3 linked regions of the Rattus norvegicus genome follow. The protein of the gene in region 2 interacts with the protein of the main gene of each other region in a biochemical or structural test. Links are inferred from orthologs where the notes say so. Each region holds a gene or a part of one and is shown on either strand. Other genes may lie near its edges. The genes, in order: Uba1, Ube2a and Rnf40.

Region 1 (10,275 bases), about 120 Mb from region 2:
GGGCCACCTTGGATGGGAAGCTGCCCATCAAGCCTCATGAATAATTCATGAACTGGATGGGATTGGTACTTTTTTTTTTTTGAGACAGGGTTTCCTGTTAACCTCAAACTAATGAGCCTTCTGCCTCCACTTTCCCAGTGCTGAGAGAAAAGTCCTGTGGCACCATGCATGTAAGCACAGCCTGTGCACTACCTTTCTTTTTGTGTCCCCACCCACCTCCACCACCTCGAGACTGGGTAGCTCTGGTTGTCCTGGAACTCCCTCTGTAGACCAGACAGGCCCCAAACTCAGAGATCCTCCTGCTTCTGCCCTGACTGCTGGGATTAAAGGTGTATACCACCACACCCAGTAGGTATAACCTTTCTTGACCTCTCTGTTTTCACATTGAGCTGGCTCCAGCAGCTTCCTTTAGTATTTAGGAGGCAGAGGAGTGCTTTTTTTTCCTGCAGTGACCCTGTTTCTTGCTTACTGGGTATTAGATGGAGCAATAAGGCAGGCTTGCTTCTTTTGTTCTATCCCACTGAGTCTCGTGCATTATTCATGAATAAGATGTAGCTTTGGTCTCCTTGATTCCCGCAGCTGCAAGATCATTCATTATTCATGAGCATTGGGTGTGGTTGGCATGCTTTAACATCTTCTTTCTGGTTGCCTAGTCTTAGTAAACCCATCACCTTGCTTCATAATTCACGATTAGGAAGAATGGCTTTGAGGTCCTTCCTTGATTTCTTTGACAGCTTAGCTGTAGTAATTCTTTATTCCTATTTCATGGGGCATGGCCTCATGCTCTACCTGTTTTTCTAGTTACTGCCTCCACAGCCACTTGGTGGAGCTGTTTTCCTTCTAGTTAAAGAAGTCCCAACCTGGGCAGGGAAAATACATGATTCATGAGTGGGCGCGGTCCTCTTGCATCCGGGTTTCTGGGGGTGGGGCTCAGGGTTTTGTTCCGGCCTTGGGCTCTGCCGCCGCCATCTTGTGTCGGCTGCTGGGGTGAAGGAGGGTGTCAAGGAAGACCACAACCACCGCGGTCGGGGGAGGAGAAGGCGACAGTGATCCTAGCTGGCCCAGGCGGCAGGGAGGAGAAGGAGAAAGAGGAGGGTGGCGGCCGAGCTTGACTTCGGCTCCTTGAGGAGTTGGCGGCGGCACGACCCGGGGAACCGGCATTGGTAATAGCTTTTCTCTGCACCTGGCTCGAAGCGCAAGGGCTCAGGGAGGTATGGGAGGGTCCCTGCTGGTTCTTTGCCAGCCCGATGTCTGAGTGCACTGCGGTGACCTGGGTATTAGGAATCACTAGACAAGTGGGTGTGGGGGTGTGCAAATCCTGGGGCGGGATGGATCATTTTTGTCTAGGACCACCCTATTCCCTTGGGCTCCGAAATCTGACCTTGACATCATACCCTTATCTCTGCTTCTGGAGGCTTCGGGTGTAGCACTATAACAAGATATCTTGATCCAATCCTGAGCCATGCATTTCCTATCAGAACTCCGAGCACAGTCTCCCATAAAGGCACCGGAATTCGGCGTCGCTGCTCAGGAAAGCCGTCCATACTTGTGTGCTATTTGAAGACCTGCCCCGAAATCTCCCTTGAGACTCTTCCTAGCCCTTCAGTATTTGCCCTCATGGCTTAAGAGGGGCCAGACTTCAGGAAAGGTCCGTGTGGCCTTCATCTCCGAAAGAAGAGCCTTGCCTAGCATTTTCATCCAGAGTTTCCCCCTCCCCCTCTCAGGATACTATCTGTCCTTAGAGCTGCCATCTGGATTAAACCCGGTGAAAAGCTCTGTGCCTGGCCTTTCCGCGGGAAACCCATTCCTACATTTGAGATATCCGAATACCACTTTGACATAGCATCCTCCAACATGGACGCCTGGCATTCTTAGACTCTTTTCAGCATCTACCTTTAGAGACTCTCCCTGCTTTTAGGGACTCCCCCCTTTTTCATGCTCTCATTGTTCTCAAAGCATCGTCTTCTCCATCAGCCATTCTTAACCTCCAGTATATTTCCTTTCTTCTCTCAGGGGACTAGACACGGGGGAGGACCTGTTTGGACATAGTTCTCCATTAGTGATCTCTTGCCACCATCTACTCTTTCAGACTCTTTATTTGTAGCCCCATCTGCCAGATGGTCTCATCCTAGACCCAAATTTTGCCTTCAAAGGCAGACCAGCATTCTAGTTTCTCTTTTTATAAATCCCTTAATCTACCAACAGGCCTCAGAATCTACCCTCATTCTTTTTAAAGGTTCCTAGTATTCAGAGACTCTTAGCATTTGCTTTTGACTTCACTCCCCTTCTCCCCAGCAGGCCCATTTATCTTCCACAGGAGTAGAAAACCTCAGTATCTATTTACTATGGAGTCACAGAATTGATTAGAGAAACCTAACTCTATTTGGAGATCTAGCCAATATTTGCTTGGTAACCTATTATCATCATTATTACAGAGTTTCACTGCCTCTGTCTGCCTCACTAGTGCTGGACTCAAAGGTGTATACCACCATGATTAGCTCTTTGTAACCTTTTTAAGGCTTGAACTGTCTGAAATTCATCTTCCCTTCACCCTATCAGCAGCTGTGGTACCTGTTTAGATCCACACAAGGCCTTTGTTGCTCCATTAGAAATCCCTCTCCAAGAGTCTGCCCTCAGAGACCTCTCTTAGCCTCTTAGCACTTAATCTCGTAGCTTCTTGTCACTACAGTGTCAACATCAAAGTCATTTTTCTGTGCATTCCCACTACTTTTGGTTGAAGGGTTTCTGTCACTAGAATCTAAGCCTGTCAGCCCCAGAATCTTCCTGTAGTAGTCTCAGGGTCTACATTCTCTCACCTCTTTCTAGAAATCCAGGTTTGAGTCTTTAATACCTCTGTCCAACACCCCCACCATTTATAAGGCGTCTTTTATTATCTCCTTCACAGCTCTTTGAGCTCAGTCACTTCCTCTGATGCCTTTCTTACACTCCTCAAGACTTCTCATTTAAAATCTCTCAGGAAGCTTGACAAGCCTCAGCATCTTCCCCTGTACAATATCTGTCAGCTGGCTCTGCTTCCTAAGCCTACCCAGATTCCCCTGCTCAGTCTTGCTCTAGAATATTCTCAGGCTTCAGTCATCAGTTTGGAGACCCCAGATAAGTTTGAAATGCTTTAATTTCAGCTTTGCCAAGTAGGTTTTAGAAAATAAATTCTAACAAAGAAGGCTGAGCACATGTTGAGAGAGAATGAATGGAGATTGGTTTTATTTTGTTTTTTATTGTTGGGGTTTTTTTGTATTTTGCTTTTTGGTTTTATTTTTGGATGGGAGTAGGGGAATCTCTAGCTCTTGTCCCAGAATCTCTGTCCCAAATTCTTCTGCTTGCCTTGATAAAGGGGCTTTCCAAAACCTGACATTTGAAATCTCCCTTCCTATATTCTTTTTTGAAATAGAGTCTCACTGCATAATTCAGACTGGCCTCAGACTTAAGAGTCTTCCTGGCTCTGCCTCCTAAGTGTTGTGGTTGTGGGCTTGTACTGCCACACCTGGCTTTGAAGTCTACTTTTGAACAGTGATCCCAAACCTGCTTACTTAGAGCCTTGCTGCCAGCACTGGGTGGGGGTGGAAAGGTTAAGGTCTGATAAAGAGCTCTCTGCTCTGGATTTTGTCTGATGTGGGGAGTAGAGAAAGAATATGCCTGGAACAAACCACCCAATGACAAGGGAAAGGAGATAACTAAGTAATGGAGGCCCTTGTGGGTGCCTTGGGAGGAGCCTCTCTCCTCAGGTCCTTGAATTTTGACCACAGATAGCCTCTTTAGCTTCATCAGGAGGACAGTTCCTTATCTCTCCATTTTTTTGGAGAAAATGGGCTTAGAGGAAATAAGATCTGCATGCCAAGTCACTGCCAGTAAATGCAAAATAGGAATTACCTCTGTCTCCATCCCAGTTTATCAATTCTCTTCCTACCCAAGTTAGATCTAAGCATTTCCAGCAACTTCACCAGCAGACTTCAACCCTAGGCAGCCTCCTACTTCCCCTCTTCTCCCTTCCTTTACCTCCCATCTCTGAGCAGTCTGAGCTGGACCCAAAGCCAAATTCTGACACTACTCATCTAGGAGAGCCATACAAACTGGACAAATGACATGAGCCAGGGGAAGTGAGAGTTCTCCAAGCTTTCACTTTCTATTTATGGTAAGAGAGTGGGCTTGTATAGTTCACGGGCATTGTTGGCATTACACAAAGCCCTTTCTCTTGTGACTGATAGGGTAGATAGTGAGGAGCGCTTGTCATTGTGTTCATATTAGAATGTGACAGTGCCAAGATGGAATCTTAGGTATGTTGGTGGTCTTTGGGGTCAGAAAAGGCTTCACTGTAAGAGTTGTATGAACAGAAAACTCAGGGTATAAGCAAAGGCTTGGTATGTTGAAAAGCTACTGGGCCTACAAAGAGATTCTAGGTCCTATCTTCTATTTATCTGAATCTACCACCATTAGACTTCACTTCCAACAGCAGGCTGTATTGTTATCTGCCTTCTCTGGGATCTAGTATGTCACTTGATCATATGAGTTCAGTTTTCTCATTTGTTCAACAGGGACTTTAAATCCTGCCTTGTAGGATCAGGACAATTGAGAGCATGAAATTTGCTAGCTCTGAGAAGTGGCTTGGACTTCAGAGTCATTGGATCTGGTCTGATCCCAGTTCAACCACTCTTCGGTGGGAACTTTGGTCAAGTCACCAAACATCCCCGAATGAAGTTGTTCCTTTCATGTGAGCTGAGTAATAGTTCAATTCCCACAGGGTTGCCCTGAGGACAGACAGAGACAAGGCTAGTAAAGTGCTTAGTGTGGCCTCTGACACAGAGAAGACTCCTAGGAAACAGTCATTATTATTACTGCTAACCTATTGAAGGAACGGACTTAACATGCTGAAGAGGCTTTAGAAGTGTGTATTTTCTCTCTTCATGCAACCTGCTTTATTGGCCTGGGTTATTGTCTATTCCTAAAACTGGAAGAAAGGTTTGGACTTTGTAAAGCTCTGCCTTGAGCCCTCCTAGGCCCTGTGGTCTGTATCTTTTTCTCATTTCAGCAACCCATAGAGCTATATCATTACCCATTTTACAAAGTGAGGGGACAGCTCTACATGATACCTATCAGGGACAAGATTTGAAAGCTGAGTATTTCCTGAGTTCACATCCAATCATCCCAGAATGATCTTCCTTTTACTCCATAGGATTGGCACCTTTCCCTTATGCTGAGCTAGGGAAAGATAAAATGACTTAGCAGTCAGCTGTGTGGATTTACAAGCTAAACCACCTTGGTTCAGATCTTAAGTCTCACAGCAGTGTGATCCTGGATAAGCCACTTCATCTCTCTGTGCCAGTTTCTTTCCTAATGTAGATTTGCTAATGCTTAAATCTTCCCCCACTTTTACCAGTAATACGTAGAAAAATAGTTCAAGGCCAATCAAGGCTACATGGTGAGACCCTGTATTTAAAACAAACAAACAAACAAACCAGAAAAATACCCATATATCCTAGGCTTACCTCTATCCTGTCTTTCTTCCTTAGATGTCCAGCTCGCCGCTGTCCAAGAAACGTCGCGTGTCCGGGCCTGATCCAAAGCCAGGTTCTAACTGCTCCTCTGCACAGTCAGTGCTGTCCGAAGTGTCTTCAGTGCCAACCAACGTGAGTATCTTCTCCCTGCAGACTGGCAGGTATGGTGGTAGGAAAGGGAGTCTTTTATATTATTCTCCATTTGCCCACACCCCACACCCCACACCCCACTCATGCATATTGTCCTGAACCCATTCTTGCTCTCTATTTCCAGGGAATGGCGAAGAACGGCAGTGAAGCAGACATAGACGAGAGCCTTTACTCCCGGCAGCTGTAAGTCAGGCAGGAAGGGGCACTGAAAGAACTTGATGGGGAAGGTGGGCTGGACCATAACCTGGAGTACCCTCTAACTTGACAGGTACGTTTTGGGCCATGAGGCAATGAAAATGCTCCAGACATCCAGTGTCCTCGTCTCAGGCTTGCGGGGCTTAGGTGTCGAGATTGCTAAGAACATCATCCTTGGTGGGGTCAAGGCTGTCACCCTACATGACCAAGGCACTACACAGTGGGCTGATCTCTCCTCCCAGGTATCTCTTCCCAACATCCTTTTCCCTGCTGAGATACCTACTTCTTTGTGCCACAGCCTAATCCTCCCACCCACCTGTCTCTTACAGTTTTACCTTCGGGAGGAGGACATTGGTAAAAATCGAGCTGAGGTATCCCAGCCCCGACTTGCTGAACTCAACAGCTATGTACCTGTTACTGCCTACACTGGGCCTCTTGTTGAAGACTTCCTTAGTGGTTTCCAGGTACTTGGTGATTGCTCAGCCTCCTGCTTGATTTTCATAGAAAGAACTCGTGTTTTGTATTGTTGGCACTATTCACTAGTTAATGAGTTGTCTTGGGCATCGAGCAGTATGCATGAGAGCAGAGAAGATGCACAAAAGATGAGACCTTGAGCCTGCCTTTGGGGAAAAGGTGGAGACAGTGTCCTGCTATGAGTGTAACTTTAGGCAGGTCACTTAGATCCTGGGCCTTGCTCTTTCCATTTCACAATAGGAATGGCAGCAGAACCGACTTCATGGAGTTCCTATGAGGAATAAGCATGGAAAATAGCAGTGTGGTCACAGGAAGGATGGCACAGGCATTTACTAGTTAAAAAGCCTAGGCTATGAGAGCTGCCTCAGGGGCTAAGGTCCCCAAGGGCTAAGGTACTGTAGCAACAACAATCAAACATAGTAGTAGGAGCTCATCCTGGTGGACAGAAATAGATATTCTTGGAGAAGGTAGAGAGAGCAGTTTTAAAATTGTGATGGAGTAGGCACCATCTTGAGACCCATCAACAGGTAGGTATTATAAGAGTGAGCTCAGGGGTTGGGGATTTAGCTCAGTGGTAGAGCGCTTGCCTAAGAAGTGCAAGGCCCTGGGTTCGGTCCCCAGCTCCAAAAAAAAAAAAGAACCAAAAAAAAAAAAAAAAAAAAAAGAGTGAGCTCAGACTTTGACTTCAGTTTCTTCCTGCCTGTGTCTCACAGGGCAGGGCATGGTTGTAGGCAGTTAGCAAACAAATGAGTCAGCTGCAGTCTGTGCCCAGTAGTACCATTCTACCTGGCCCAACGTGTTCTAAGCTTTCGTTTTCTGTCTGCTGTGTTTTCTTCTCATTGAATCTGATCCCCAGAAAGTCTTTAAGAGAGAGGTCTGGAGGACCAGGAGGATAACTGTCTTCAGGACTGCCTCAACCTCTTTGCACTAGTCTCTGCTATTCTTTTTTCTCCCCTTCCTCCTAGTTCTGGCCTCTTGACATGAACTCTATTTCTCCACAGGTGGTGGTCCTTACCAACAGCCCCCTGGAAGAACAGCTTCGAGTGGGTGAGTTCTGTCATAGCCGTGGCATCAAGCTAGTGGTGGCAGATACAAGAGGCCTATTTGGGTGAGTACCACTTCTGCATGCCTTTTTTTCCCCACGTCCTTTCCTTGGCCAAGACCCTTATCCCTCTTCTACAACCTACATTTCATATTGTGTATCTTCATCTCTCCCTGCATGACATTAGTGCTGTTGTATCCCCTGTTATGTACCAAGTTGGTTCAGCACACATCCAATGTACCTTGAAAGATGCCTTGGGCCTTGTGTGGGCCTCAGACATCAGTCCTCTTGTCCCTTTCTATAGGCAACTTTTCTGTGATTTTGGAGAGGAAATGGTTCTCACAGATTCCAATGGGGAGCAGCCACTCAGTGCTATGGTTTCAATGGTCACCAAGGTAAGGAAATCAGCCCCAGGGGTCTTGGCAAACAGCTAGGCAACAGCAACCTTCTCTGTACTCTTGTACCTTGACTTGCCTCTGAGGCTCACTCCTTTTCAACCAGGACAACCCCGGTGTGGTTACCTGCCTTGATGAGGCCCGACATGGCTTTGAGACTGGTGACTTCGTCTCATTCTCAGAAGTACAGGGCATGGTCCAACTCAATGGATGTCAGCCCATAGAGATCAAAGTGCTGGGTGAGCTGGGACCATGGGGGTATCATAGGGGAACTGGCTAGGAGAGTTAAAAGAAAGGAGTTCAGAGTGATGGGCACTATATCTTGAGTGCCTGAAGTGGATCAGAGAATCCAGGATCCCACAAGAGCCAATGGACATGGGGAAGAAGGGCCAACTATGTTTGAATTGTTAATGAGCATGGGCCCCCAGGGTCTGAGTTGAGGAGAAGGAGCTTCTTGTGTTTTGAACAAACAGGGCAGATCAAAAGATCTGATCATGTCAGTGATCACCTGACATTAGTGTAGACCTGGGACCAATGACAAGAGAGTTTCATGGTGTCTGAACTAGCTCTGAAGCAGAGGGGAGATAGTTTCCTATCCCCAGTGGGGATTGTGGTTCAAAAAGTACCTGGTGTCTACATTGGGTCAGGCATATTTTTTTCCTTGTCTCTTGAGTTTTGTAAATTTAAGAGGGCATGCAAGATTGACAAGCTTCCCTATCTACTCTATCTAGGTCCTTATACTTTTAGTATCTGTGACACCTCCAACTTCTCTGACTACATCCGTGGAGGCATCGTCAGCCAGGTCAAAGTACCTAAAAAGATTAGCTTTGTGAGTATTGGTTCATGGCAGGTGGTTCTAGAACAGTGAGTAGTTCTCAACCTTCCTAATGCTGTGACCCTTTAATACATACAATTCCTTGTATTGTGGTGACCCCAACCATAAAATTATTTTCATTGCTACTGTTATGAAATGTAGTATAAATATTTTGCCAGAGGTGTGTGCCTCATACAGTTCTAAATTTACTATTCATTTCTTCTCTTTTTATATGCTGCCTTCCCACAGAAATCCTTGCCAGCATCACTGGCAGAGCCTGACTTTGTGATGACTGACTTTGCCAAGTATTCTCGCCCTGCCCAACTGCACATTGGCTTTCAAGCTCTGCACCAATTCTGTGCTCAGCACAACCGACCACCTCGACCACGAAATGAGGTAGGTAGTTGGGCCAGCTAGGATAGAAGTCCTTGGTGCTAACGACCTACCCATACCTGTGCTTGTTACCTGTCCATCCCTTGATAGTAGCCTGGGAAATCCTTACTTGTTTCCTTTGCCCTACCAGGAAGATGCAACAGAACTGGTGACCCTAGCTCAGGCTGTGAATGCTCGGTCCCCACCTGCAGTACAACAGGACAACGTGGATGAAGACCTTATTCGGAAGCTAGCTTATGTTGCTGCTGGGGACCTGGCACCTATAAATGCTTTCATTGGGGGCCTCGCTGCCCAGGAAGTCATGAAGGTAAGTGGGGTTTTGTCTTGCCTTTATTACTTGCTATCCAAATGTGTAAGGGCCTGATTAACACTGGCCACTTCCTCTTTCCTTCTCCTTCACTAGGCCTGTTCTGGAAAGTTTATGCCCATCATGCAGTGGTTGTACTTTGATGCTCTTGAATGTCTCCCAGAGGACAAAGAGGCTCTGACAGAGGACAAGTGCCTCCCAGTATGTGAATGGGCTGGAGGGAAGGCATTATTGGGGGTGTTTCTTGGGAAGCTTCTCTCTGACCCATCTCACTTCATATTCCTCAGCGTCAGAACCGTTATGATGGGCAGGTAGCTGTATTTGGCTCAGACCTTCAAGAGAAGCTGGGCAAGCAAAAGTACTTCCTGGTGAGTGGTCTCCTTGGACACCCTGCGTGGTCACCTCCCTTGATCTCTGGCCACCCCTTCTGGGATCATCTGACTTGCTATTGTATCTCTTCTTGGTCGTTTCTTAGGTGGGTGCAGGGGCCATTGGCTGTGAATTGCTCAAGAACTTTGCCATGATTGGGTTAGGCTGTGGAGAGGGTGGAGAGGTCGTGGTCACAGACATGGACACCATTGAGAAATCGAATCTGAACCGACAGTTTCTTTTCCGGCCCTGGGATGTCACGGTGAGAAGGATGGGAGTAGGAGATGGCTCTCTGACCTCTTGTTTTCCTATCTTTTTCTTACCTATATCTATGGTATTTCTAGTAGAGATATACTTATCTTTCCTTGGGCCCTTCTCATCCTCTGTTCTGTCATTCATTCAGCTCTACCTTGAATCAGGTCTTTTCATCTCTTTTTCTTTTTTTTTGGTTCTTTTTTTCGGAGCTGGGGACCGAACCCAGGGCCTTGTGCTTCCTAGGCAAGCGCTCTACCACTGAGCTAAATCCCCAACCCTTCATCTCTTTTTCTGAACAACCGTCAAGTCGGTTTATTTCTTTTTCTTTTTCAGTACTGGGGGGTGAATCTAGAGCTATCTAGCATGCTGCA
Region 2 (11,030 bases):
CAGTGCAGGAAATCAAAGGCATATTATCTTGTAGTATGTCCCTGCACTGCAGATTAATAACCTTCAATACAAGTTTGAATAGAAGCTTCTTAATTGGAGCATTTCTGAAATATAGAGGTTTTTGTACCTGCATTATGACTTGGAAAATGCTGTTGCAACTGTGATTGAGCTTGGGAAATGTATTTGCTGCATGTTTATATACCAAGGCAAACCTTTTAAAACATTTAAATATTTTTATTTATTCTTTGAGAATTTTGTACATATATCCAATGTATGTTAATTATATTCATCCTTCATTCCCTCCAGTTCACCTCACTCTCAACACATTTCAGTCACGCTCCTACACACACACACACACACACACACACACACACACACACACTGAATAACTTGAATAAACGTAAACCAAAAATGAAGACACAAACATTACAAAAAGAATCATTTATCAAGTATATAGTAAAAGATAATTCCAAGAAAATAGGTGTTCTTTCACAGACACGGAGGGCGATGCTACTTATTCAGAAAACTTTCTGTCTCAGACGTGAGCTCTAAGAACTTTCAAGTGCTGAGCTGTAAATCTCAGGGCAAACCAGAAACACTTGGTTTCTGTCTTTGATAAAAGTCAGGGAACTGACAACGGTTCCCTCCAGGAGAGTGGGTGAATGATTCTCTGCTCTCAGGCACTGTGGAACCCTTGGCTGTGAAGAGGGAATTTCTTCAAGGTGTCAAGGTGAGACAGGAGTGAATGAATGCTTGGCTAACTGTGCAACAGGTAGTGTGTTCTAGTTTGATAATCACCTGTGCTGTAAAACAACTCTGTGTTATGGCTTGCTATGGCAACCTTGCTTTGATGAGGGGTGTGTGTGTGTGTGTGTGTGTGTGTGTTCCCAGGATGCAATTTCCTTTCTCTGTCAGAGGAGACAGGTGCCTTGGGGCTGGTAAATTGCTTTGGTTCAGGCCCTTGAGATGTAAAGGAAGACAAGGAACTTTTCAAACACAAAATAGACAAGCCCACAGAAAATGTGAACATGGCTACTGTATCCTGTAATTACTTCCAGACCTTTATATCTAGTCGATAAATTCTCCCTCCCTACTTCTCCTAACCCTTTCTTCTTCCCAGTCTCACTATGTAACCCAGGCTGGCTTTGAACTTGCACTTCTCCTGCCTTAGCCTCCCCATTGCTGGACTTAAAGACACCATTCACCATGCTCAGCTTATATGCTACTTCTTAATGGTATACACTTTGTAGCACTCTCTCCTCTCTCTCTCTCTCTCTCTCTCTCTCTCTCTCTCTCAAACTCTCAGAAAAACTGGCTGTGGAGCCTAAATTCCCCCATCCTTTCATTTAAGGACATTTAATTAACCTTGTCACTGTTGGTTTTCCAAGTTAATGTTTCATTATTTCCTGTGAAGTACTTCTCCCAGTCTTGGTATGATGGTTCACAGTGGCAACCTCAGCACTCAAGAGGTTAAAACAGGAAGAGTGCCATGAGTTGAGACCAGCTAAGGCTACACGACATAGTGATTTCCAAGACACCTTGGGCTATGGAGTAAGACCTCAGCTCGCCTCTTGTTGCAAACAACAAAGTGAACATATGAACTCCTTTGTTGTTGTAAAAATATAAAAAATAAAAAAAGGAAGGTTGTCTTTTATCCCCCACTAGGTCCTGCACTGTGGTGCCCCAAGATATCTGCTGGATACCTTAATTCTCAGTCAGCAAAGCCTCTCACCAGCTTTGCTCCATCCCATATCACACTGCCGAAGGCCTCTCTCTGAGCCTGGCAGCAATCTCTCTACCTATCTAGTTCCCAAGGCAGCTTTTCATGCCAGAAACAAATCCAAACTCCGTGGCAGCCCAGACCAGCTGCTCCACACTCCATTACACTTAAATCTACACATGAAAGAACACACAACACAATAACCTTTGGCCCAATTGATAAGATATAATTGCCCACCTAAACATACAAAGCCCAATACACATCCATCCCTTAAAAACATTTGTAACAACCTGCCATATTGTCCTGCCACTACTTCTCTCCCTCTCCCTTCTGTCTCTTCCTTTCCATTCCAATCTCCTCCACTTCTTTTAAACTTTTCTCCTGCCCATCCTTCCTTCTTGTCCAATGACAGGCCTCCTTCTATCTTGTACCTGCCTCACCTGTGACATTATCCCACACTCCTTGAGTAAACAAGGCAGCCTATCCACTTCCACAGAATATGGTTTAAGTGCTTCATGCACTTGTTCACTGGAGTTTTGTCTCTTTTACAGCAAAACTGAAATAGGCTTGTTTCAGGAAGCTTGTCTTGACACACTAGACCGTCTAGATAGAGTTTTGGTGGTGCAATTTCTCTGAGGGATTCCCACACACTTAATATAGATCCCACTCTTGCTGGGAAAGGCAGGGTTGGAATGATGCCAGCTTTACAGACTTTTGGTCCTTGGTGCACCCACATATCCTTGTCTAGATATTAAGCCAATGCTTAATCTAGATTTAAAAAGAATATTTAGTTATTTATTTTATATAAGTACACTGCAGCTGTCTTCAGACATAACAGAAGACGGCATCAGATCTTATAACAGATGGTTGTGAGCCACTATGTGGTTGCTGGGATTTGAACTCAGGACCTCTGGAAGAGCAGTCAATGCTCTTAACGTCTGAGCCATCTCGCCAGCCCCTAATCTAGATTTTATAGTGAAGAAATTGAGTAGATTTTATTTGTTTGATTATTTATTTATTTAGGTACTGGGGATGGGGCATGGAGCCTTAGACATGCTAGGCAAATCCTGAGGATATTCCAGTCCACTGAAAAAGTAACTTACCTGAACTTAGAGGATTTTTAAGATAAAGAGATTATCAAGGTTGGGTCTGATGTAATCTGACAAGTTAGAGAAGTACACTGCATTCTTCTTATAGAAAAAATGTTCAAAGTATGTGAAGGAGCTAGCAAGAGAGAAGGTCACATAGCAAAGAATGGAGGTGGCCTCTGGGAGCTGGGAGTGGTCCCAGTTTGGCATTTAATAATGAAATAGGGCCCCGAGTCCTACAAGCATAAGGAACTGGACTTGACCTGCGGTTTGTGGTGATCAGTTAAGCAGTGAAAGAGAACAAATGCTCTTTTTGCAGGCCTTGCTTTTGCTATTTTCATGTGTGAAATAGAAGACTTCAAGTTTCTAAATGAGGGGAAAAGGATTTTTGAAATTTGGTTTGGTAACCTTATCCCACCAACAGCCATAATATGACACTGTTAGGGAAACTTGCTTTAATGGATATATGTGTTGGGGTTAATCGGGGATAACAATTGTTAGCTAGGGAGGTACCTACCATCAAGCACCTAGTAAAATCACTCCTGTTGGTATGTGCTTTCTAGTCCTGTGCACCTGATGATTTCTGGACATCTTCACATGGCTGTTTCATCACTCCCAGGAGCTCAGGAAGCCCCATTCAAAATTTCCTCTCCTGAATGTGTCCTTCACCCTTTATGCCTACTTCTGTTAATGGCTACTTCAAATCTCTACTTCTTTTTTTTTTAAGGTTTATTTATTTATTATATAGAAGTACACTGTAGCTGTCTTCAGACACACCAGAAGAGGGCATCTGATCCCATTACAGATGGTTGTGAGTCACCATGTGGTTGCTGGGATTTGAACTCAGGACCTCTGGAAGAGCAGTCAGTGCTCTTGACCATTGAGCCATCTCTCCAGCCCTCAGTCTCAATTTTTTTTTTCATTTTCAAAAAGGATTTATTCATTTTATGTATGTGAGTACACTGTCACTGTCTTCAGACACACCAGAAGAGAAGAGGGCATCGGATCCCATTACAGATGGTTGTGAGCCACCATGTGGTTGCTGGGAATTGAACTCAGGACCTCTGCAAGAGCAGTCAGTGCTCTTAACCGCTGAGCCATCTCTCCAGCCCCTCAGTCTCAATTTTTAAAACATTTTCTCATACTGTGTGTGTGGGGGGAGATTTCAAAACGTGAGCAGGATTTAATGTGAGAGAAAATCTCTGTTGAGATTTGAAGCTGTAGTAGGTCCCATGGTAAAGGATGGGCTTGGCCTCTGGGAGGTTTGATTGCCTGGTACAATGTTTCTCCTGAACAGTACCACAAGAGCCCTTCAGGTACTCTCTTGCTCTCTCGGGACAAACTCTGATTAACCCAGCTCTAATGGTGTCGCTTCCTGGCTCTACTACCTTCCAAGGAGTCCATTTGCTTGACATTCAAAACTCTCCCGGATTTAACTCAAACCTGCCTTTCTCATCATTTCCTGCATTCTTAAATAAGTATCTTCTTGTCTGCCTACTAAGTGATTTTTGGGTTGATCTTTGAAAATGCTTCTTTCAAACTGTTCTTGCTTTTGCAGGTGCCTATACTCCCTGTGAGGCTTGCCTGCCCGTGACTTGCAGCTTTCCCCCGAGCGCCTACCTTTCCCTGCCATCTCCTGTCCTTCCAATACTCTTCAGCTGGATAAGCTCATACCTTGGACTCCTCTAAACTAGCTGCTTGGCTTGATCAATTACCAAGGGGAAATGTGGTTCCAGAGACAAGTTGTGAGTGCCCATGGCATTTGTAAAATGTCTATTTTCCCTGCCTGAAGCTCCCATTTCCACCACTGCCCCAATGTCATTTTATTCAGCCCTAGACTTAAAAGTTGGGATTGAATTGTGCACCCTCATCTCAAAGAAGATGGACCCAAAGTCCATTTTCACACTCAAGAGCCATTTATTTATTTATTTATTTATTTATTTATTACTTTCCCCATGATTCTGAGTAGTTACCCCAGCCTCTCGTGTCTGCAGGACCATGACCCTAACATCCTTGCCTTTTGAGAACTTGTTTGCCTGTGCCAACTCTTTCCCCCACTCTCCTGTTTCAACTAATCTTCTCTCCGCTCCTCTTTCCCCGATCCTAGACGTAGTTGGCAGTTTAATAAATCATGCCTTGTCAAAACCAAAGAAAGGTTAAGGCATATTCCTGGCAGGCTGAGGTGACCTCAAGGCCCAGCCTCTGGGATTCACAGTGAGTTTGAGTTAGCCTGTATTACATTAGATACTACAAGAGACCAACCGTACAATCAATCAATCAATCAATCAATGAAGGTGGAAGAAGCAGGGAGCCAACAACAAAACAACAAGTAATTAAAAGATTGGTATGGTGGTGCACTCTTGTAATCCCAGCATTTGGGAGGTGAAAGCAGGAGACTCAGGAGTTAAAGTCATGCTCAACCACACAGTGAGTTAGAGCTTCCCTGGCCTACAGGATACCTTGTTTCAAAAGAGGAAAAAAAGAAAGGAAAGAGAAAGATTTCCTCCCCCACGACCCCCCCCCCCCCAAAGAAAGTAAGTAACTATAAAAAGAAAACTTCGCAGGGGTTCCTCTTCAAATCCGCAAGTGGAGCCCATGCGTTTCCCTTTTAAATTCCCGACAGTTGAAGGCTGCCTTTGCTGCCCGCTTAGCCTTTCCCCTCGAACTTGACCGCCACCGCCCCACGGTCCTGGATTGGGGCTCTCAGGCGGGGCGTGACTGACAGAACAACTTTGGTCCTCCCCCGCCCCGTAGCCGACTTGGTACAGTCCGCCCGGCGTAAGGCGTTCCCCCCCACCCCACCCGCGCGTTCTCCTCAGGTTGGTTCGGCCCCCGTCTACTCAGGGGTGGTGCTTAGCCGGCGCCAGACCGACCCTCGGCTTCGGAGAGGTAGTGCTGTTCCTCTCGGTGCTCCCTCGGCTTCGGCTTCCTCCGCTTCCTCAGGGACCGCGGACCCTGGTATATGCCCTACCTCTGACCCTGCTAAAGCCATGTCGACCCCGGCCCGGCGCCGCCTCATGAGGGACTTCAAGAGGTAACCGGCGTCGGTTAGGGAAAGGCGCTTGAGGGGGCTGCTTGCCCGGGGCACAGGGCGGATCCCGAAACGGAACGGCTCCGGGTGTGGTGGTGAGGGGGGCCGGCCGCGAGTCCCGGGGCTGAGGGGAGCCGCTGTGTGTTTCTGAAGGTTACAAGAGGATCCTCCGGCTGGAGTGAGTGGAGCCCCGTCGGAGAACAACATAATGGTTTGGAACGCGGTCATTTTTGGGTGAGTCTGCGGTCCGGCCCTCGCCGGGGACTCAGGGGACCGGGGCCGGCCCCTCGATGAGCCGCGGGGGGAAAGGGGAAGATAGTTGGGGTTGTTTGGGCCTAGGCGCCTCCCCGGAGCCTCTGCCTCGATTAGCTCCGTTCTCGCTGCCAGGGGAACCGTTTGGGGTTCTAGGGGGGCGGGGTGGGGAGCGGTGGCGGCCTGCGCTGCCTCCAGAGCCCCGAGGGGACAGGGGTGGCTTCCCTAACACCGGACAGCTGTGCTGGACGGAGGGCAGGGATGGGAGACCTTGACAGAGCCGCCTCTTCAGAGGCTGCGGGAAGGTGTGGACCCCCTTGGCTGGTACTAACCGGTTCTTGTTTTTGTTTTCCTGTGTTGCAGGCCCGAAGGGACCCCATTTGAGGATGGTAAGAGAGTTTCTTAGCCCACCTTTCAGGAGCCTACTCACCAGGGAGAAGGGGGTCCCTGGCATCAGCAAGCATCCCCAGCTTAAAGAAGCAGCTTTGCCCTGCCTCTTCTGCCCACCAAAGGCTCAAGTGAAATTCAGTGTGTGGCAGGTTGTTCTGGATGGTCCTATGCTTAACTAAAACTGCACTTTTCTGGGTTTTTTTCCCCCTCCGTTTAATATATCCTGGGTGAAAGTAGTCACTTTTTAAAAGAAGTGCCACAGTGCTGGTATTCAGGATTTTGGAGGTTCGAGCAGTGTTTCTGCTAACTTTAGCCCCCACGGAGATAATTCAATATAAAACCGGTCCACCAGAGACCATCTGGTTCACTATGCGTTCCATCCCGAGGGCAAGAAGTGTGTTCAGCAGTACTTAGTGTGTGCTCTGTTGAGGGCTGAATGAATGCTTGCAAGATTCCCTGACATACAATTCCCTGGCTTCAACAATATGATTCAGAAGGCACATCAGCCTCACTTCTTTAAAGATGTTCTTACATACTTAATTTCAGTATAATGTTGTTCCTTGATTTTAAATTCATTTACAGTGTGTGCTTTCGTTTAGATCTTCTAATTGGTAATCTCAAAGCAACTTCAGAATTGAGATTTGTCTCACAGTAGTACCCAGTGTCCAGCCTACTTGAATGTTGAGTTTGTATCAAGAGGTGCATAACAAACGAGTTAGGCTTAACTTTTAAAAACACACGTTAAGGTCTCTTCAAAATTTGATATATTGAATGCTGCCGTGGAGTCTTATGCCATTAAGTTTTGCGCTTGGAAGGCAGAGCAGGCAGAGGCAGGCAGCTCTCTATGAGTTTGAGACTAGTCTGGCTTACTGTAATTTCAGGCCAGCCAGAGTTACATAGTGAATCCTTGTCTCAAAAATAAAGCAACAAAGAAAAAGCCCCCTTCTAATTTGACATAATTACAGATTCCTGTGCAGTTGAAATAGGTACTATAACAAGTCTATGTAAAGCCTTACTCCAGTCCCATTACCTATTTGGTAATGTCTTGAATGACTACAATAGCAGAATCAAAATGGTCAGTGATACAGTTTTATATGCATAAACCAAATTGTGTGTGTGTGTGTGGGGGGGGGTTGAACCTTTTAAAGGTTTAATTCACTTAAAGGATGATTAGAACTTTCTGAGTTCATGAAATTCTCTGGAATTGGGGGTATTTTAGTAACATACGAATGTGCACAGATACATAGACACATTCACCTTCAGTTTGAAGGTGATAACAGAAACATTTCTAAAACTACTTTTTTTTTTGGTTCTTTTTTTCGGAGCTGGGGACCGAACCCAGGGCCTTGCGCTTCCTAGGCAAGCGCTCTACCACTGAGCTAAATCCCCCAACCCCCTAAAACTACTTCTTATATATGTTGCTGACTCAGACTGCTTTTACTTACTGCTAGTAACCAAACGCTGTGAGGTAAGTCAAAATCAGCCTCGTCTGGAATTTGTCTCAAATACTTAAGATAGTCTTTGGAAACCATTGATAGTTACTAGAATACTGTTAGCTTTTACTCTATCTCACTGGTTAGGTAAATGTTACCTGCCGCAATAAAAAGAAATGACAGAGGACTGAGTGATTCTAGGGCACACAACTTTGGTGAATTTAATGTAAGAGCTAGTCAGTGAAAGAGCTAATTAGACTTAACTTTTCTCTACTATATCGAGATATATATAGTTTTGTTTTTTGAGACAAGGTTTCTTTGTGTAGCCTTGGCTATCCTGGCACTCTACTCAAGAGATCCATCTGCCTGTGTCTTGAAAATTCTAGAATCAAAGGTTGTGCCAAGTCTTTTTTTTTTTTTTTTTTTTGGTTCTTTTTTTTTCGGAGCTGGGGACCGAACCCAGGGCCTTGAGCTTCCTAGTTAAGCGCTCTACCACTGAGCTAAATCCCCAGCCCCGCTAAGTCTTTATAGATAAGTTTTATATGTAGTTCAGTGCTTCTCAACCTTCCTGATGCTGCATCCTTTTAATACATTACCTTATATTGTGGTGACCCCCAACCATAAAATTATTTTTGTTACTACTTCAGAACTGCAATTTTGCTACTGTTATGGATTGTAATATAAATAAATGTGTTTTCCAATGGTCTTAGGTGACCCCATGTGAAAGGGTCATTCAGCACACCCCCAAGGGGTCACAACCCACAGGTTGAGAACCGCTGGTGTAAACCACTTCAGCAATAATGGGCTTTACTTTCACACACACCCCCATTTTGCTCAGACTGTTTTATCTTAGGCACAGCTTATTAATAGCACATCATTTTGCTAAAGTCTGGCTACTTAAGATTTCAAGAGTGCTCCTGATATTTAAAGTAGTATCATTTGAAAAGGTACTTGTAGACTCCATTATCTTCCTGTATTGTTGCCTTTGACATTACTGGTGTTGATTTTGATGGTGTGTATCTATCTCTAACATGGCATTGCTGAAAGGAGTTAAGCTAAATGACAGTATCTGTCTCTGATTCTGTAAAACAGTCTAGTATACATGGATTGCTTCCTCAGCTGTTTAGAGCTCTCACTAGCAAAAGCCAATCCTGGCCTTTTTTTCATTACTTCTAATTACTTTCGGAGAATTTATAATTAGGGAAGAGATTTGGTAGAAATAAATAACAGCTGATTTGCTATCACAAATGTGTTTCCAAATTAAAAGCCCTCACACAACTTTTCTTTATTTCTTGGTAGTTGTTTCTGAACCAGATCCTAGTTAAGAAGAGGAAATCTGATGCAAAGAAAAATTTGTTTTTTGAGACAGGGTTTCTTTGCAGCCTTGGCTGGCCTGGAACTCATAGATCTACCTGCCTCTGCCTCCTGAGTGCTGGAATTAAAGGCATATAACTTAAATACAAAAATTATGGGATATATTTCTTATCATGTTCAAAATTACTGAGTGGGATAATTGTAGTCACTTTTTATGATATATGTGATCTAAAGAATTTGAGTGTGTGTATCTTTTCCTTTTAAAAAGGTATCTCTTTTTTTTTTTTTTTTGGTTCTTTTTTTTTCGGAGCTGGGGACCGAACCCAGGGCCTTGCGCTTCCTAGGCAAGCGCTCTACCACTGAGCTAAATCCCCAACCCCTAAAAAGGTATCTCTTAAAGTCCACTAGAGTGATGATGAATTTTCAGTCACCAAAACAAAATTAAGTCCATATAAATTTGCTTTTTCTCCAGGAAAAGTTAGTCAAATGACAAGAAACATGAGCAGAAAGGGTTAAGAACTTTTTCTGTGTGTGTGTGTGTATGTGTGTTAAGACAGGGTCTCTTGTAATCCAGGCTGGCTTCAAATTAAATATGTAGCTGAGGATGACCTTGAATTCCTGATCCTCTTGCTTCCCTGTCCCAAATGCTAGAATTAGAGGTATTTGTTGTCACATAGGCCATCAAGTCTAACTCTTAACTTCACTTTCAAAGACATTTAATCTATGTTATGTCTTTAGGCAGAACTTATATTCATCAATTCAACTATATCAGTCTTTATTGCCATATACTAGACATTTAACACATTTTTTCTGGCCTCCGTGTGTATTTGTGTTGATACTTAAAACATTTTGACCTCCTCAGGAAGTTTTAAAAAAAATTAGTAAAAACCAGTAAAGATTTCACACAACAATGATGAGTGTTAACCTTTCATTATTTTGTTTTTTTTTTTTTTTTTGGTTCTTTTTTTTCGGAGCTGGGGACCGAACCCAGGGCCTTGCGCTTCCTAGGTAAGCGCTCTACCACTGAGCTAAATCCCCAGCCCCACCTTTCATTATTTTGAAGCCTAGCCCTCTGAAGGTGAGCGCTAGTTTGAAATTGTTTAATAGCCTATGATTTTTAAAATTGCCTTAACATTTGTTTAGATCTCATAAATTGCATTGAGGGTTCTACTGAAGAGGCTCCCCTTACTTAATGTATCTGAAAGAAATGTCTTTTAAATGTATATATTGAATAAGATTTGGGTAAGTCTTAATTTCTAAATCAAGTGAACAAAAACACATTTCACTTCTGAAGATAGCTAAAACTTTTACAAAGATTAGATTCGCTCAGTAGTAGCTAGGTTAAGACTCCTGTTGCTTTTCCAGGACAAAGTTATGGCTTCACAAGCAGAGGGCTTCAGCCAAGGAATTTGAGCTGGCCACATATATACTTAATCTTAAGTGTTTGCTCTGTGACAGGAAATGAGTGTTGCTTAATATCTGAATTTAGTTGTGTACTTCTGACTGGTAGTAAAGTTTAGAGTTTGTATTTTTCTCTCATTCAGCCAGCTCTAGATATATGAGGCAGAATTATAGCTAAAGTAATTGTTCATTTATGGGGAACATTATGACTATGACTATACTCATCTGCCACATTTAAGCCTTACAGCAGTGTCACAGTGGATACTAATTATTAGCCTTCTTTTGCACATCCAAAACTTGAGGTTTACATACAATCAGTGATACCTGTATGTTTTACCACATGTCTGTGCACCATGTGTAAGTCTGTTGCCCGTGGAGGCTAGAAGAGGGCATGGGATCTC
Region 3 (9,340 bases), on a different chromosome or scaffold from region 2:
TGGACGTGGTAACTTGTGTGATTGGTCATATGTTCCCTCCTGTCACTGCTTGGCAGTGCTACCACAGACGGCCCAGAGTGAAGCTTGGCTCTTCTGGGATAGCGCATCCGTATCATTACCGTATGTTTACTCTGTGTCAAGCCTTGTACTCAGTACTTGGCATGCCTGATCCCACTTGTTTTATTGCTGTGTGCATCCATGTTGTGTGCATGTGTTTATGTGTGTGTGTGCGTGTGCTTTCCCACGAGGATGGGAATGAAGGACAGCGATTGTCATCAGGATGTCTCCTTTACAGTGGCTTCTCTGCCTTAGGGTCTCTGGTTGAACTTGGCGCTTTCCATTTTAGGTAGGTAGGCTAGCTAGTGGATCCCTGGGCTCTGCCCGTCTGCACTGGGCCTCAGACATGCACTGTCAGGCCATGGTGCTTACATGGCTGACAGGATTAGGACTTGGCCTCGGGTCCTCACATTTGCATCACCTGCAGGTGACCCACTGAGTCAACTCAAGAATAATCCTACCAGGGCGTTTTGTGTATGCGGGGGTTGTTTTTGTTCTTATTTATGTGTATGTCAGGTGCCTACAAAGACCAGAAGATAGTGTTACATCTGCTAAAGCTGGAGTTGTAGACGGGTTTAAGCTGCCCTGTCAGTGCTGGGAACCAAATTTGGGTTCTTTGCAAGAGCAGCAAGCACTCTTAATGAGTGAGTGTCCCTCCAGCCCAACAAGAATGATTCGTTAGCTGTTGCACCGTTGAGGAAACTGAAGCTCAGGGGATGTCAGCTGACTTCTCCAGGGAAGAATAAAGCTGCCATTTGGATCCATGTCTTGTTCCAAGTCCTAGGCTGGAGCCACTCACCTAGGCTTGCACGATGGCTCAGCTGGGCAAAGACACTGGCCTCTAAACCTGATGACCCAAGTTCTGTCTCTGGGATCTATTTGGCAGAAGGAGAAAACTAATGCTCACAAGTTACCCTCTGACTTCCGCTGGTGTGGCATGCTATGTGTACCCAGCATATACTCTGAATGAGGTCATTTTAAAAGTCATTGAGTAACTGTCAAATAGAGCTGTGGTCTTTACTATGTAGTTTTCTTTTGTTTGTTTTGTTTTGTTTTTTAATGTGAGTTCTGAGACTCAGGTCCACATGCTTGTAAGGTTATCACTGCCTCAACTGAGCTCTCTCTCTCTTTTTTTTTTCTTTTTTTCGGAGCTGGGGACTGAACCCAGGGCCTTGCGCTTGCTAGGCAAGCGCTCTACCACTGAGCTAAATCCCCAACCCCCTGAGCTCTCTCTTTAGCCCAATAGTTGTTTTCTTTTCTTTTCTTTTCTTTTTTTTTTTTTTTTTTTTTTGGTTCTTTTTTTCGGTGCTGGGGACTGAACCCAGGGCCTTGCGCTTCCTAGGCAAGCGCTCTACCACTGAGCTAAATCCCCAACCCCCCATAGTTGTTTTCTTATGCGCGTGCACAGGTGTGCGTGTGTGCGCTGAAACAGGGTCTCTATTTCACTCTGGCCATCCTAGAGCTCACTGGGTAGAGCAAGCTGGCTTTGTACCACAAGCTTCAAGCTTTCCTGATGCACTCAGAAGCCAAAAAAGGATCAGATCCCCCTTGAACTGGAGTTAGGGATGACTGTGGACTGTCACATGGATGCTAGGAGCTGAAACTAGGTCCTCTGCCAGACCTGCAAGTGTGCTTACCACTGACCACCGAATGATCTCTACCCCATGGGAGCTCTTGGTCCTCTTGCCTCCGGCTCCCGGGTGCTGAGAGTTCCAGTGTTAGTTTAAGCCTAACAAGCATGGCTGAAGATGTAGCTCAGCTAGTAGACTGCTTACATAGCCTGCAGCAAGCTCTGGGTTCAGTCTCTAGCACTGCACAAACGGCATGGCGGTGTAAAATAACTATAAACTTAGTACTTGAGAGGTAATAGGAAGTTCAAGGCCATCCTCAGCTGTAAAGCAGGTCTGAGCCAGTTCATGCTGGAATATGTAGAGGCCTTATCTTATGGGGAAATGGCGAGAGGATTGAGGTGGAAGATTGGCAGTCTGGAGAGAGGGCTCAGGGGCTGGAGCACTGGCTGCTCTTCCAGAGGATCTGGGTTCAATTCCCAGCAACCACATGGTGGCTCACAACTGCCTGTAACTCCAGTTCCAGGGGTCCCAGCACTCTTACACAGACATGAATGCAGACAAAATACCAGTACACATAAAATAAAAAGTAAGTTATTAAAAAGTAATTTAAAAAAAGACATAGCGGATTTACATTGGTTCTATACCTATTGGAGTATTCTGGGGAATATATTCATGTAAACTGTTTTGTGTCCCTGTTACACACGCTGGGCTTTATGCTGACCAACACTGGGTGAGTCCTGCCTCCCCACCAGTAATCCACAAAGAAAATAATGCAGTTGTCTATCGCTTAATCTTTTTTCTTTCTCCTTTCCCTCCCTCCCTCCTCTTCCCTCCCCTCCCCTCCCCTCCTCTCCTCTCCTCTCCTCTCCTCTCCTCTCTGTTTCCTTTCTCTTCTCTTCTCTTTCTCCTCCCCTCCTCTCCCCTCTCCTGCCCTCTCCTCTCTCTCTGTCTTTTGAGACAGTCTCTCTATGTAGTCCTGGCTGTTACAGAGCTCACTCTGTAGACCAGGTTGGCCTTGAAGTAAGATCCTGCCCCTGCCTCCTGAGTGCTGGGATTAAAGACATGCACCATCGCACCAGACTCTGCTGTTTAAAAGACAAATTCTCGCTGTGTTCCAAGTTGGCCTTGAACTCTCAGTGATGCTCCTGCTTCAGCCTCCCAACTGCTAGAATAACAAATACTGACCACTATACCTGGTTCAAACACTGATGAAGGAAACTAAGGCTGTGTGGAAAAAAAGAAATGGCACTCCTTGGAGATGTGACTTTAGAGCCGAGTCCACAGGACAGTGTGCATGTTAGAGGAGTTGATAGCAACAGAGACACCAGCCTGATGGAGGCTCAAAGACCAGAGGGGGCACCGCAGTCAGGAATGAGGAAGCATAGGATAGAGGTGAGGTTGAGGGCCACAGGCAGGGTTAGCTCCAGTACATGCCATTCTGTCATTCAGGATGTTTGACAGAAGCATCAGTGGACTGTGGTTCCCAGGCTTGGGCACAAGGTCCTCTCCTTCCTGTTCCCGCCCACCCCAGGCTGTAGAAGCAGCCCAGTTGGCTGAGGACCTGAAGGTGCAGTTGGAGCACGTGCAGACTCGGCTTCGAGAGATCCAGCCCTGCCTGGCAGAGAGCCGGGCTGCCCGGGAGAAAGAGAGCTTCAACCTCAAGAGAGCTCAGGTGTGTAATGGGGAGGGCTGATGTGTTACCAGTGTGAGACCTGCAGGTCCTTAGCCTGCCTTCTGTTGTTCTAGGAGGACATTTCCCGGCTGCGGCGCAAACTAGAGAAACAGCGGAAAGTAGAAGTTTATGCAGATGCGGATGAGATCCTGCAGGAGGAGATCAAGGAGTACAAGGTGGGATATGACTGGCTGGGGACAGTGGGGTGGTAGTCTCTGTGGCTGGAAATGAAGTAGGGCAGCAGAAAATGCCACTTGTGGAGTCAGACAAGTGCTAAGCATTTGTCGTATGTAAGCCATGTGCAGAGGGATTACACCTGGACCCTGGGACTTTTTAAAGTAATTCTGCCATCTCAGTGATGAGTCAAGGGAACCCAGGGGCCGTCTCCAGAGTCCTGGGGATGGGATGGAGAATTGTGTAGCAACAGGCTTCCTGAAAGGAATTGTCACCAAAGACAGACCCAAAGCTCGAAGAATGGAGGTGAGAGCTTTTGGAACAGGAAAGGCCCCAGGTAGAGCCATTGTGGTTATAGGAGAGAGACAGTTGAGCAGCAGAAGACTCTGAAGGATGTGGGCAGGTTTGGTAGCCTGTGGGCACACAGTAGAGAAGCTGTCATTAGGGAGGTAGAGGAGCGTGTAACGTTTGGGAGTAAACCTGGGTGAGGCCTTATACAAGCTACACACACACTTTACCACCAAGCTGCATCCCCAGCCCCATCAAGGGTCTTTAATCAAGATGGTGGCCAAATGTGGGGCCAGAAGTGGCTGCAGAAGGGGTGGTGTTAGAGCATTGCAGTCGCTGAGTCAGAAACTAATATATAGCTAACCCTATACCCAGAGATGAGAGAGCAGCTAAGGTGACACTAAGGTGGGACTGCGGAGCTCAGGGATGGGCCACACGAGGATAGAATAGGCAGGACAGCAGTGATGTCCAGGGCGGAGATGGAGGAGCTGGGCAGACGTCACTTTGCAGAGCATTAGCTGTGGGTGTTTCTGAGAGTGATGGGAGCCTCTGGGACCCCTTGGGAAGCTGGAAAAGCACTTGAAGCCAAGGTCAACTGCAACAGAATTGGAAGCCACACTGGGCTGTGGTTGCCGTTGAGGGCTTTTGCCATCAGAAGGAACAGGGGACGTTTTTCTCACCTCGGGAATCTCAATCTTTAAGTGACAGGCATTGAGTGAAGCCTGAGGAGTAAGCAAAAGTGCTGATGGGAGGAGTGGGTAAGGAAGGGAGCCAGCCAATCCCTGCCAGATGCTGCTGAGACTCTGTGAACTTGGGGGGAACAAGGGTCTCTGTAGTGGAGAGGGTGGCAGAGTCAGTGATGAGCTATTCCCCCATTGGGCCTTCTCGGGGAAGGCAACAGTGTGGATGGCACTGTCCTGAGAGATTGGGAAACAGTAATCTGGAGGAGTTGAGATGGCTGACTGAGACTCCAGATGGGCCAGACACTTGCCATGCAGTGCTCACCCAAGGTAGTGACTAGAGCCGAATCTGAGGCCTCCTGGTGGCACTGGGGAAAGTGCACAGCAGGGCCTGGGTTCCAGGGGTAGGTCTGACCAAGTCTGCAGAGAGCATGGTTCTCATGCTCTACCCTGTTCAGGAGTGACTGAGCAGGTACAGCAGAAAAGAAGTGACCAGTGGGGATTTCGCCCAAAAAAGCTGATAAGGCAAGAGATGGAGTTCAGGCTGGACCCCTGTCCTTAGGAGAACCTAGACTCTGCTACTTTTCTAGTTTGGGTTTTTTTGTTTTGTTTTGTTTTGTTTTTTGTTTTGTTTTTTTGTTTTGTTTTGTTTTTTGTTTGTTGGTTGGTTGGTTTTGTCTTGTTTTTGAAGATGGTTGTACTGTGTGACCTTGGCTGACCATGGTCACAGTCTTCTGAGTGCTGGGGGCTACAGGCCTAAGTGACTTGGGCTAGTTTGGAATTTTGAAAACTTGGCTCTGAGCCTGGCTCCTGCTCTGCTGGTTCCCACTTCAGAAGTTACGGTCACATTAGAAGCCTCAACCACTTGGTGGGCTTAGACTGGAGTCTGGGGCCTGTCAGAGTTGCTCCAAACTTAATGTGTGTGTTTGGTCTAGGCCCGGCTGACCTGCCCCTGCTGTAACACCCGCAAGAAGGACGCTGTGCTTACCAAGTGCTTCCACGTCTTCTGCTTTGAATGTGTGCGGGGCCGCTATGAGGCCCGCCAGAGGAAGTGTCCCAAGTGCAACGCTGCCTTTGGTGCCCACGACTTCCACCGTGTGTACATCAGCTGAACCTGAAACTCAGGGGACTTTGAAACATCCATATACCCTAGGGGCTGTGCCCCCAGCTCCCCACTCCCCCGGGGGCAATGGCCCCAACCTCCCTTCCAGACTCCATGAGCCCAGCCCCTCTATGCCGAGATGGTTTGGGGCCACTGGTGCATGCAGGAGAGGTGGGACTAACCGAGCTGAGTGCCATCTCCTGAATGTCACATCTGCAGCCTCTGGGACTCCCGGGTTCACAACATCCCACTGTAACCTCGGGAGCTGGCCAGACCTGTTTCTACTGAGAAGGCAGATACATCCTTGCCCCTAAAGGGGATCCCTCCACCAGGAGAGGGCTCACCACAAGCCTGCACAAGCTCAGTAGTGACCAGGGACCACTTGCGTGGCATTGGGTCCTGACCCAGGGAGCCTTTCTTCACCTCCTCAGCCCTCGGCCTGGCAGGGATTTAGCCTTCCAGTGGAGTTTGCTGTACCCTTGTGTAGCTTTTGTGTTAAGAAGGTGCACTCCTGGGTGTCTGCCCTCTTCAGGGACACTCTGCAGTTACGGACACTGCCTGCTCATAGTCTGATTCAGGGTCATCAATTTTTTTTTTTTTTTTTTTTTAGCCAGACACTTTCCAATCTCCTGCTTTTCTCCTAAGCCCACTTTACCCTTCCTCACACATCCTGATGGTCCCTTGAGTACCTGGCCCTAGCCCTGCTTTCTTTCATCCTGGTGGTCTTAATTGTGGAGGTGCAACTTACCAGGAGGGAAGAGACAATCTAGCACTTCCAGTCATTCCAGGTAGAAGAGCTTGGCCTGTCCTCCAGCTAGCCTGCACTGGTACTCCTGAACACTAGAGACAGGACCTAGTGGAGCTGGGAGATGGCGCTGCAGATAGCTACAGGATCTTTTGGACTCACAGCCTCTGCTCTAGAGGCGTCGTGTATGGGCTGCTAATTGTTATGAATAAATACCCAACCCTAGGCTGAGAGAAGCCGGTCCTCTTGGTCTAAACCGAAGTCTAACTGCTACACCTGGCAAGCACGTCCCTGTGTTGGTTGGGAGCTGGACACATTTGAGAGCCCATTCCAGCCCACAGGATAACTACTTGGGTTAGCAGTAGCAAGCAAATCTTCAAGGACACCCCCACCCCCACCTCCTTCACAATGGAAAAGCTTTTGAATATGGGTTGTCTATGCCCTTTCCCTGGCATTGGCCATATGGATAGCAACCTTTGTGGGTTGCATTCTGGGATATGTAGTCCTTTACCTTCCGGGACCAAGTTTCTCTGTTGGCCACATTTCAGTATTACTTGCAGGCTTTACCCACCCCTACTCTGGGAACACACAGACCACGACAACTCAGCAGGGTGGCTTTTCATTGTGCCTGCTTAGGCTATTAGCTGGACCCTTGGAAACCGTTTGCTCAAACGTGGAGTGTTGTCTCTAGGTTCAGAGCGCTGTCGACTCTTCCGGTGGCGCTTTTACAGTAGTCACGCTGGGATTAGCTCCATGACCAGAACTAAGCGAGGGTGAGGTGGGCGTAGGAGCAGCAGTCATAGCCATGGTTGTAGCCTCAGGCTTAGCAACAGCCATACCTTCTCTAGGCTCTTCAACCTTTTCCGAAGTCTTTCCTTCGTGAGGACTCCGGGCCCTTTCGGCTATCTGACTGCGCCTGGTTTCAGTGGGGTCGCAGTGGCCGAACCAAGTTGGACTGGAGACAGATATGCGGGCTACGGTGACCTCCGGCGTGCAGCTGGCAGCGATGGGAACGCTCGCGGAACCACGAGTAGCAGCAGGAGATGACATTGGGCCACCATGAAGGCCACCCCGGCTGGAGTGCTGGGGTGGGAAAGGTGGGGGAAACGCAGGATATTGCATCATAGAGACCAAACCTAGAGCTAGAAGAACTGAGCTAGTAGTCTTAAGGGGCCTGAGCCCTGGGGTATCACCTCTCTCTCCCAGCATGATCTAAGTAATGGACACCATTCCCTCAGAGGGGAGTCCTCAAATAGATGGGTTAGGGGTACTCAAAGTTTCATGTGGGGTGGTAACTTCCAACATAAAGCCTTTTCCTCATGTCAAGCTCAAGTTGAATGGGCATCCCTGTGCCTGGAACAGTATTGCCATCTTGGCAGGGCCATGAAAACAAACCATCAGTCTGTCAAACTGGTGTAGATCGGTCTTAAAAGACTCAAGCTTTTTTCTCTCAAGTCAGAGATCCTGAGTCAGAACCTCCCCTGGCCAGCTCCAAGCAAGTGGCTTCGGTATTGGATATGATCCTATTTCAGCCGGAGCTAAGGCAACTGCCTCTGAGAGCAGTTGATGGGGACTATTCTCAGAACTTACCCAAGCCTTTGGTGCTATACTCCTGGTCTTTTCATCGTGCTCACTGCCTTCTGATCTCTTCCTTCAACCCTAACCAGACTTCCCTTTGCACTTTGCCTTTCTCTGAGGTGTCTATCAAGAGCCAACAGCATAGGTTGGCTGTACCTACAGTTCCTTCCCAAGCTCCAGGCCTGAAACCCACTGTTTAAGGAGTATGAGGGATGCTCCCTTCCCCTCTCACTAAGGAGTATGAGGGATGCTCGCTCTCCCCCGACTCCTCACAGCACTAACCCTCCTCAGGCTTTGGCCTCTGCTCTGTAGCTGCATCTCCATCCATTGGTTCTCAACCTTTCTAATGCTAAGACACTTTAATGCAATTCCTCCTGCTGTGGTGACCCCAACCATAAAATTACTTTGTTGCTACTTCATAACTGTAATTTTGTTACTGTTATGTATCTATTTTCCCATGATCTTAGGCAGTCCCTGTGAAATTTGAGCCCCAGACTGCTCTGCGTCAATCCCTAACTGTTTGAACCTCTATCCCCACCCCACTCCTGACTTCCATCTAGAGGATCCCTCCTTCTTGAGGCCCAATGCCCTGTAGTTAGTTCCAACTGTCATCCAACCTACTTTAACAGTCATGGCCTCTGGCCTTTAAATCAGGTATTGCTCTGGTCCCCCTCTCATTGGAGTTCCTTAGTGTTCTCAGGACTCGGGACCCAGGAACATGAAATGGCAATTACCCCTCCCCACCACACCCACCCATATTCCTGGAACAGAAAGGGAAAGAATGACAGCTTATTCTGGGATTTGGGATAGAGGTACAATAAAGTCCAAGGGAGGACAGGAGGAATGGCTGGTGAACATGGCCTTAAGAGCCCTGACTGCTCTTCCAAAGGACATGGGTCCAATTCCCAGCACACAATGGCAACTAACAACCATTTGTAATTCTAGTTCTAGGGGATCTGACGCCCTCTTCAGGCCTCTGCAGGTGCTGCCTGTGCACGATGCCCAAGCACATGCAAATAGAACACACGTGCACACTATTTATGCATCCACCTTTCTGCCTTCACCAGAGTCCTTAAGAGACAGGCTGTGGCTAGTGTTGATCAAGGCAGCCACTCGATGGCCATGACCAGACTCAGAAGACAGACAGTGCTGAAGCCAGCCGGGCGTGAGGGCTTCCTTTTAGTAGTCCCAACCACAAGAAGAAAAGGCATGGCCGGTGTGAGGTGGCCCAAAGATCTCCAGGTCACTCTAACTTTTCGCCATGACTTACTTGTGGGTCTTAGGTAAATGGCTGCACTTTGTAGAGCCCCAGCCTGCCCCATGGCAAGAACCTTTGGGCTATCCTGGGGATGGGACAACAAGCCAGGGTACCACTCAAAGAGGACAGGTTGCAGGAGAGGCTGAGCTAGACCCAGGATCCATGAGAACTCAGAGAGGTAGCTGCCAGCTCTGAGGATGAGGACCTGGGAGCTC

Evidence for each region.
Region 1: of the proteins of Ube2a (region 2) and Uba1, one has a biochemical effect on the other in vitro, tested with the Homo sapiens proteins (6 studies listed by BioGRID, with this or other methods). The link is inferred for Rattus norvegicus from reciprocal best matches to the Homo sapiens genes UBE2A and UBA1.
Region 3: the proteins of Ube2a (region 2) and Rnf40 form a complex in vitro, tested with the Homo sapiens proteins (3 studies listed by BioGRID). The link is inferred for Rattus norvegicus from reciprocal best matches to the Homo sapiens genes UBE2A and RNF40.

The regions. Positions count from the first base shown.
Region 1 is NC_086039.1:4,071,403-4,081,677, reverse strand, and holds the start of Uba1 (ubiquitin-like modifier-activating enzyme 1), read left to right. Parts: upstream 1-988; 5' UTR 989-1,163; intron 1,164-5,525; coding exon 5,526-5,642; intron 5,643-5,784; coding exon 5,785-5,843; intron 5,844-5,928; coding exon 5,929-6,097; intron 6,098-6,184; coding exon 6,185-6,319; intron 6,320-7,330; coding exon 7,331-7,437; intron 7,438-7,675; coding exon 7,676-7,766; intron 7,767-7,872; coding exon 7,873-8,005; intron 8,006-8,497; coding exon 8,498-8,595; intron 8,596-8,829; coding exon 8,830-8,976; intron 8,977-9,103; coding exon 9,104-9,280; intron 9,281-9,376; coding exon 9,377-9,481; intron 9,482-9,567; coding exon 9,568-9,648; intron 9,649-9,755; coding exon 9,756-9,911; intron 9,912-10,275. UniProt on the Homo sapiens protein: Catalyzes the first step in ubiquitin conjugation to mark cellular proteins for degradation through the ubiquitin-proteasome system.
Region 2 is NC_086039.1:120,974,424-120,985,453, forward strand, and holds the start of Ube2a (ubiquitin-conjugating enzyme E2 A), read left to right. Parts: upstream 1-5,660; 5' UTR 5,661-5,798; coding exon 5,799-5,842; intron 5,843-5,992; coding exon 5,993-6,073; intron 6,074-6,454; coding exon 6,455-6,480; intron 6,481-11,030. UniProt on the Homo sapiens protein: E2 ubiquitin-conjugating enzyme that accepts ubiquitin from the ubiquitin-activating enzyme E1 and transfers it to a E3 ubiquitin-protein ligase. In vitro catalyzes 'Lys-11', as well as 'Lys-48'-linked polyubiquitination.
Region 3 is NC_086019.1:191,641,861-191,651,200, forward strand, and holds the end of Rnf40 (E3 ubiquitin-protein ligase BRE1B), read left to right. Parts: intron 1-3,077; coding exon of another isoform or gene 3,078-3,086; exon of another isoform or gene 3,087-3,159; coding exon 3,160-3,300; intron 3,301-3,374; coding exon 3,375-3,476; intron 3,477-5,377; coding exon 5,378-5,554; 3' UTR 5,555-5,874; downstream 5,875-9,340.